2 linked regions of the Sus scrofa genome follow. The protein of the gene in region 1 purifies or fractionates together with the protein of each later gene. This does not show direct contact. Links are inferred from orthologs where the notes say so. Each region holds a gene or a part of one and is shown on either strand. Other genes may lie near its edges.

Evidence for each region.
Region 2: the proteins of C9H11orf57 (region 1) and CSNK2A2 purify together in Homo sapiens (affinity purification with mass spectrometry; 5 studies listed by BioGRID and IntAct, counting the BioPlex papers as one, with this or other methods). This does not show direct contact. The link is inferred for Sus scrofa from reciprocal best matches to the Homo sapiens genes NKAPD1 and CSNK2A2.

Annotation. Positions count from the first base shown.
Region 1 is NC_010451.4:39,774,194-39,778,465, reverse strand, and holds the start of C9H11orf57 (uncharacterized protein C11orf57 homolog), read right to left. Parts: upstream 2,888-4,272; 5' UTR 2,752-2,887; exon of another isoform or gene 2,195-2,751; intron 1,577-2,194; 5' UTR 1,569-1,576; coding exon 1,500-1,568; intron 1-1,499.
Region 2 is NC_010448.4:20,013,897-20,018,486, forward strand, and holds the start of CSNK2A2 (casein kinase II subunit alpha'), read right to left. Parts: upstream 2,829-4,590; coding exon 2,725-2,828; intron 1,939-2,724; coding exon 1,827-1,938; intron 1-1,826.

The sequences.
Region 1 (4,272 bases):
AAACAGATAAACAACAAGGTCCTCCTATATTACACAGGGAACTATATTTAACATATTTAATAGCCATAATTGAAAATAATATGACAAAGAATATATATGAATACACTTATCTAAAACTGAACACTGATGTACATCAGAAACTGACACAACATTGTAGCTCAATGATACTTTTAAAAATTTCTTAAATTTTTAAATTTTTTTAAAAAATTAAAGAAGTTCCCATTGTGGCTCAGTGGCTTAAGAACCATACATAGTGTCCATGAGGATGCAAGGTTTTTTCTTTTTTTTTTTTTTGTATTTTCTAGGGCTGCACCCACAGCAAATGGAGGTTCCCAGGCTAGGGGCTCTAATCGGAGCTACAGCTGCCAGCCTATGCCACAGCCACAGCAACTTGGGATCCAAGCCACGTCTGCGACCTACACCACAGCTCATGGCAACACCAGATCCTTAAGTCACTGAGTGAAGCCAGGGATCGAACCGCAACCTCATAGTTCCCAGTCGAATTCGTTAATCAGAGCCACAACGGGAACTCTGAGGATGAAAGTTTGATCCCTGGCCTTGTTCAGTGGGTTGAGGATCCAGTGCTGCTATGGCAGCGTAGGCCAGCAGCTGCAGCTCCATCTGACCCCTAGCCCAGGAAATTCCACATGGCACAGTTGTGGCAGTAAAAAGAAAAAGACATTTTTATGGAGTTCCTGTCGTGTCTCACTGGTTAACAAATCAGACTAGCAACCATGAGGTTGCAAGTTCGATCCCTGGCCTTGCTCAGTGGGTTAAGGATATGGCATTGCCGTGAGCTGTGGTGTAGGTTGCAGACACAGCTTGGATCCCGCTTTGCTGTAGCTCTGGCATAGGCAGGCAGCTACAGCTCCGATTCAACCCCTAGCCTGGGAACCTCCATATGTGGCGGGAGCGGCCCAAGAAATGGCAAAAACACACAAAAAAAGAAAAGAAAAAGACATTTTAAAAAAAAATTCTCATAACAAATTAAAACAAACACAAAAAATGTGATGGTTTCTTTTCTGCCTCGAGGAAAAAGTCTAATCTCTAAGCACCAAAATCTAACTGTAATTTACCACTCAGACCTCATCTTCTGCCATCCCCCCCCCGCCCCTGGTCCCCCTTCTCTTCTCTCTGGATACATACAATCTCTTGCCCCAAGTTCTTTACGCTCCTTGTATATGCTAGTGCATGACTTTCCCTCTGCCCTGAATAATGTTTTCCACCTGGTACACTAGAGCCTGCTCATCAAGAACCAGTTCAAATATCAGAAGCTCAAATACCACCCATTCTATGAAGCCTTTCCTAATTCCCCAAGGCAGATTTCATTATTCCTTCCTCAGTGCATGAAAGCACTTTGTATATGTCTCCATTATACTTATCAAATTATATTCTAATTCTATTTGATTTATCATGTATCTCCCAACTGTACCAAAATAATTTACGGCACACTGTATGCCCTCATTAAGCAAGAGGAATCACAAGGTTGGACCTCTCACCTTATTGTGAGCATCTGTGTGCCGGATGACATTCCTCAGGAGGACTTTCCCCAAGGGAACTCGGGACATTCTTCAATCTGAAATGAATCGATAAGTAACTTTTAATAATAATTCACTATGTTACCTTATTTTTATTACTGTGTTTTAATAAAGCATGAGTTAAAGGGAAAATCACTGAAGTCACAGGTCGTGCAGAATAGTTTTTCCTTCACCACTAAAGGGGAAAACACCTGACCACACCAATGTGAGGACGAAAGGAGGTAATGACCACTGGAGTTCTTTCAAACTGCACAAATTAAGTGCTTTGAGGAACATCATTTAATTCTCAAAGTAATTGTTTTAGATGAGGCAGGTATCTTCATTCCTATTTCGTAGGTGAAATTCTCTTAAAGCTATAACTTGCCCCAGGCCACATATTCCAAGGCAAACGAGGTCTAGATTAGAAACCAGTTTTTGAATCCCAAAATTAGTCTGCAATTAAGTAAATACCTAGATTTGAGAATGTCAGCGAAACAAATGTCAACAGTAACAAAAATTGACGTCTAAAAACATCGAATGCCGAGATGCCCTAAATTTCTCCATTCAAGGGTATCTTATATTCTACTTTGGACAGAAACCTCCAAAAAACAGAGGACAGGGATATTCACGTGTGTAGCCAGCAAGGGCTTTGTGCAACCACCCCACCGCTCACTCACCCCTTGATCCTGAGGAAATCAGGCATCTTGTTAGTGTGAGACGAAGAACCACTCCATTACAAGATCTCCTCCGACCCAGGAAGCCAAGGAGTCAGGGCTCAAAGGCAGCTCTGCAGCTTCACCCGAGTCCTTCGTGAAAACGCAGCCTTCCCACCGGTTATTCCGCCCTCACCCGTGGGCCTCGCCACCGCCGCCTCTCCCCAGCCCAGGCCGACAGGCAGATTTTTCTCCGGACTGAGGCCGGAGGCTGCTCTGGCTCGGAATCCGGACGGCCAAGTTGGCTAGCGCACTCCCCGCTCACGCTCCTCTGGGACGGCCCCGAGGTTGGGTTCCGCCTTCCCAAAAGGATGGGGACGCTTTGGCCGGGGACGCCCCTCGACTGGGCCCCAAAAAGTACCTAGAGTGGCTGAAGAGGGGATTGAGGCTTCCAAGTGGAAGACACAGAAAATACCCCCATCTTCGTCACCGGCACCCCTGCCCCCCAGCGGCCGCGGAGCTCCCGGTAACCTTCCCTCCAAACACCCTCCCCACAGAAACACACACAAACACACCCATACCGTGCGCCGCAGCCTCGCGTGACGGGGGCAGGGGGAGGAAGGGATCTGGGGGAGAAGGAAGCCGACTTCCTTTTCAGGCCGGAAGTCGTGCCCCTAAGAAATTCTTCCCACCAACAGGAGTCACAGAGACTCCCACAGGAGGGTTTCCAGGACACTGTAGAGGTCAACAGGTGCAGAAAGGGAGGTGAGCGCCCTCCTGGAAAAGAAGTGGGTCGGGCTCAGCCAGAAAGCAAGCCCAGCACCAGAAGGAGAAGATTCCGGAACTAGGTGTAAAAAGAACTTTCTGCCTGGAGCTTCCCGGACCCAATTAGATGTTGTACCAAGATGGTTACCCCGGTAACAGGCGTCGCGGTTTGTCAGGAAACCAAGAGAGGAGGTGGGTTTGCCGACCTCTGGAAAGACAGTTACATTTCCCTTTTAGTCTAACCTTCCTGTAGTGTTCAGGCAACCCAAACTTACTCTTTTCCTCATTCTGTCGATGCTATGGGACACGTCTCCATTGAGGGGAAGGAGGAGGGAGGAAGGTTACCTCAAGTCATGGAGAGAATATTACTATTCTTATGTAAGGCTTAGCAAGTGTTCAGCCTCTCTGTGTTACCTTACTTAATCCTCACGATAACCCTACGAGATAGGTATTATTGTCTTCATTTAGAGGGGAATAAACTGATACATGTATGTAAATTAAATGCTCAAATCACACAGCTAGTAAGTGATGGATAGAGCTAAAACTGGAATTCTATGCATTCTGTCTGCAGAGTCCATGCTGTTAACTACTAGATTATACCAAAGATTGAGGAAGTCTTGTGTAGCCTTCAATCCACAGCACACCTCTAGCAAATAAAGGAACTGGATAGGCACCACTTAGCTAATACCAGGATACTGGAACAAGAAAATTCCAGGAAATCCAAACTTTAAAAGATTACTCTGTCCCCTTAGGGTTTTTGAGGCTCTAGACAGAGGTAAGGCCTTATTATCTGAGGGAACATCTTGAGAATGTAGGAAGTGGTACTAGATAATTAGAGAATAAGGAAAAGATAAAATGGTGCTGAGCCACAGTCTTTTAGACACAGGTATTAAGGATAGTTGCTAACTTCAACAAAACAATTCCTGACGTATTCCTCCTCCCCCCAAAAATAAATGAATCAGTAGACCTTTTTTCCCTCAAATGTCTTTCCACAGATTTAAGAGGCCTAATTCATCTCAATCATGGAGAAATCCTCAAAAGGTCTGCTCACCCAAGTTACTCAACTCTGGAACCTTCTAGATGATCTGGCTGAAAGTAACCCTGAGAGCTATGAGAAGTTCATTCAACAGCAGCTGAAAGAGGGGAAACAGCTCTGTGCGGCCCCAGAACCATGGCTCTGTCTGCAAACCAGGATCCTGGTATGTAGAGTTGATGCCCAGAGAAAGGGAAATCCTGAATTAGATGGTCCTGGAGTAACCAGAGAATGACTTACCCTTAGCTATTGCTACTTCAACACAAAACTTGAGAGAAACTTCCACTCTAAAAGGAAATTAAGG
Region 2 (4,590 bases), on another chromosome or scaffold:
CTGTGCTCAATGTTAAGATCTTACAACCTAACACTAAAACAAACAGTAAGAGAGAGGAAAAAAATAGGAAACAGGAGTTCTGGCCAAGGGTTATTTCAACATAGTGACGTTAGATATGCTTCTTGGTGCCTAAATTTCTGGTTGGTTAAAAATGTCCTTCAGTTTCCATATCGGGTACCCTAAACATATCCTATAAATCTTTAGAGCAGGGGAAAACTATCCAGCAACTGAGGCTATGAAGTTCTCCACAAGGATGACAAAAGGGCAATATGACACTTCCCTAAATGAATGTACTATTACTTATATACACACCTGAATGTGGTTCCCTTTCAAAAGACGCCACAGGAAGTTGCATACTTACTCTAAAAATGCTACCATCACATCAAAGTTTAGACATTTTTCTGGAATTGCTTTAGAGTCAGCAGTTTATTCTTCTGATTGCACAACAGTGGGATATGGGTACTCCTAATGTCAATTTATGCCTTGCTTATTTCCTAGAGAGATTTTAAGTAGCTCTATTAAAAACATTTATGCTAATGTTTAACAGAAAAAAACTGTATGGTTTCCCAGGTGACTTCTCTGATGGGAATATTTCTTTAAATATTTGTGAAGAAAAAAAATAAAGACCACGTGACTTTGTAGGAGCAGTTCATATTTAGGGAAGAGGAGAGTCAAACTCCCTATCTTCAGTATCAATTCCTCACATCTCCCCCCCAGTGTTTCTGACAGCACAAATAACTTGCCTATTTCTCTGCAAACCTGCCTCTTCATCACAAGGCTAGAATGGTAGCAGTAACAGAGTCAATCACTTTTCTGAAAGGTGATTTTCTGATAGTCGAAGCCTGACCTCCCTTTTTAAATCGGGACACAGCTGCCCCAACTTTACTTAAGGCACAAAAACAGCTTTTCAATCCTACATTCTTGTTCGCAGAGCCTCTCCAAAATGGCCACATTGGAACTCTTGTATATGTGAAAGTGCTTATATGCTCCTACTAATCAACTCTTTGGTCTTCTCGTGATTTCACTAAATGACATGCACGCACATTAAATGATCAGGCAATGATCATTGAAAAGAGTCTAAGAATTATTTTTTATATGCCTTTGACACATTATCAAAGCTACACAACCAGTTACTCAGAAGAGAATTTAGCCAACTCTTCATGTTCATCAAGATCAAGCCTTCCTTCAAGAGATGACAAAAGGTATCTTTAACAAATTCAGGGTTCTATAAACTAGACAGGTTGTTTTGCTTTAATTCAAAACAACCCAACTTCACGTTTACTAGCTGATAAGCAACAATGAATCTTCCTGGCACTACTGGCTCACTATATCCATCTTACCTGAAACTTTTAACACCAAGAAGGAAAAAACAAGTCATTTTTCCACAGGAGTGGTTCCCTCCACTCAGGTTTCAAATGCATCCTTGAAGCTACTTTTTTACAACTTTCTGGAATAACATATACAGTACTTGAGGAGCCTTTGCGTTGATAGGATCTTCATGAAAAGGCTCTTTTTGCTTCTGAATGCCTATTTATTTTCTAATAAATGGAGCCCCTTTGGAAGTTTCACTTTGGAAGCCTTTAATTACATTTCAGAACAAGCATGTTCCTGAACCATCACACTTAGAGTTGAAACAGGTCTGCCTATTTCTGCAGATTTTCTTGAAAGTTCACAGGAAAATGAGGTGGGAGGAGTAGGAGAGGGACATCAGACAGAACAGATGCAAAATGAGAGCTCAAACTGCTCATTGGAGAATGTGGCTGAAATAGTTCATATCCTTCTGACCTGTGAAAAAGAAACTTTAACGCCGCTCATAAGACACTCACCTTGAGAATTTTTACAACCACTCTCTCGTTGTTGGTGATGTTAATGGCCTCAAATACTTCACTATACTTTCCCCGACCAAGTTTTCGAACCAGCTGGTAATCATCTTGATTACTGTGAAAGCCAAGAGCGACAAATATAAATGGCAGGACTTAGGATTAACCAAGCCTATGCCCACTACACACCCCATCCAGGCGCTTCCATTAATCAAGCACTTGGAAGTGTCTACACATCATGCCACAACTCATTCCCTAAATGAAAGCCACAACATAAACTTGGCTCCTCGCACTAGACGCAGTTCCTAACCTAATTGGTCCCTCATAACTTAGGGGAGATAAGGTGGAAGGCACGGGTCTGACTCAATCTAGAGGTGAGCAAAGCATCCATCCCGGAGGCCCAGAGGTGCCCCTCCGCCCAGCACCTGCCTTCTATTGCACACCCAGAAGGTAGACACCGCCTGCCTTGCGAATCTGGACATCCTTAAAAAATTTCCTCCCACCCATCCTCATTTCAAAAAAATAGAAAAGCAAAGAATTTTAATAGCTCAAGAGGACAGCTGCTGACTTCCCACCCCAATAGAAACCCCAAAGCGTAAAAGGAAAGGCTGCTCCCTTACTCCCACCGGGCTCTGGTCCCTGGACCCCTACACTTGTAAGGAAGTATACCCTGGGGTAAGGGGTACGCACAACGGGGAGGGAGAAGCGGAAGGGAGGAGAGGAAGACGAGGGCACTGGTGGGGGGAGTGGACCTCCCACCCCAGACCGGAGAAGCGCAGGCCCAGCAAAGGGGCAGGCGAGGAGATAGACAGCGGGGGACAAGTGCGGTTTGCGCGGGGGGTGGGGGGACGGCCGGGCGGGGGTGGGAGTGAGAGGGCCCGGCGGGGGGCGGCGGCGGCTTTACCCCCAGCTCGGGACGTGAGACTCATAGTCCCAGTACTCGCGGCTCCTCAGGCTGTTCACCTCGGCGTAGACCCGGGCCCTGCTGCCCGCGGCCGGGCCCGGCATGGCGGGCGGGACCGGGGGGCGTCGCGGGGCGCCGAGGGCGGCGGCGGCGGCGCGACGGGGGGCGCGGGGCGGCGGGCGGAGGAGGCGGCGGGCCGCGGGCCGCCGGAGGAGGAGGAGGAGCGCAGCGGCGGGCGGCCGCGCCAGGCCGGGCCCGCGGGGGCGGGCGGGCTGGGGGCGCGGGGGGCGCCGGCCAAGCCGGCCGGGCCCTGGAGCTGCCGGCGGGACGGCGGGGCGGATGGCGCTCGCGCTCCGCGGCGGCCTCCGCTCGGCTCGCGGCCCCGAGGCGGCGGCGGCGGCGTCGGCGGCACCAGCAGCGGCAGCCGCCGGCCGGGAAAGGGGCAGCGGCAGCGGCGGCGAAGAAGGAGGAGGAGGAAACCCGGAAAAGGGGCCGCGCTCACTAGGAGCGGCCGACGCCCGGCCCGGGGCCGCCCAGCCTCACAGCGCCCCCTGCAGCGCGGGGGGACCCGCCCGCCGGCCTGGTCCCGCCCCTGACCCCGCCCCTCCAGGATCCCCTTCCAAATCTACCCATCCTTGGTCTGGCAGAAAGCGCTCATCACAGGGCCTCCCCGCCCACAGGCTGCTGTCCTAGAGCCTTGCCCCCTCGCCTACTCTTCCAGGACTCTCCTAGAGACCCCCTACCCCAAAGCTCTCTACCCTTTCGTCATCCAGAGTTTCACCACCAGACCTCTCATACCGACCCTGCTGTGACACTTTTGTCACCCAAACTGTTCCCATCAAGTCCCTCCCTCATGAAACTTGCTCTTTTCACTCAGAACCTCTCCAACTCCTGATTTCCCCACCCCTCCCAGAGACAGCCCATCTTCCCTGATAGACTCTCCCCTGCCACCCACAGACTCTTGAACCTCCAGACTTCCCCTTCTCTCTTCATCCACAAAACCCTTATCTTACATTTTCCCCAAAATATCCTTCCAGAACCTTCCCTAAGAACTCTCTTTATGTTCATATCCTCACTTGGTTAAGTTGGAGTCAGCCAAGTTACTCACTGTAAAGTTCCTATTTTTCCCTTTGTAATTAATAAGCAAAATGTGTGGAGACACTTTGAGACCATAGAAATACCTTGGTTTGGTTTGGGAGGACAGAGAGCAGGAGAATTGTGAGAGTCCTGCCTTGAAGGGACAGGCTAGGAGTTGGGTATGGACTGAGGGTGGGGTGGCCAACCAAACTTTGGCCTATTTTATTAGGTTGCCTTCTAGCCCTGAACACTCTTCTCTCCTTGATGTTCTGGGCCTTTCTTTGGTCTTGCTTTTCCATCCCACATTTTTTAATCACTCAGCCTGGGTTGCTTTGAATCCAATCCTTTTTCATATTCTGTTTTCTAGGTGAGGCCCTGCTTCCTCCTTCTTGATACAATTAAGAGAACAAACTCTGAAGCTAGATCCTTCCGTGTTTGAATGCCAGCTCTGCTACTTACAAGCTGTGTTACCTTGGGCCAATAACTTAACCTCTCTATGCTGTGGATTTTACAAAATAAAAGCAGTAATGGCACCTACCTCACACGACTATGGAGCAGATTAGACAAAATAAACCATGAAAAACACTTAGAACAGTGTCTAGCAGATACTGAGTGCTCAATATGATTATTATCTGACCAGGGCCTTTCCCTACACATTGCTCTCCTTGAGATGCCCGTCTTTCAGTTTTTTCTACCCTCCAAGTTTGGCCGACATCACCTCTACCCCCTCCAGTTCCATTTTTCTCTGCCTGACTCCTTTTTCCTCTCCAAGTCTCACTTTTAAGTTCA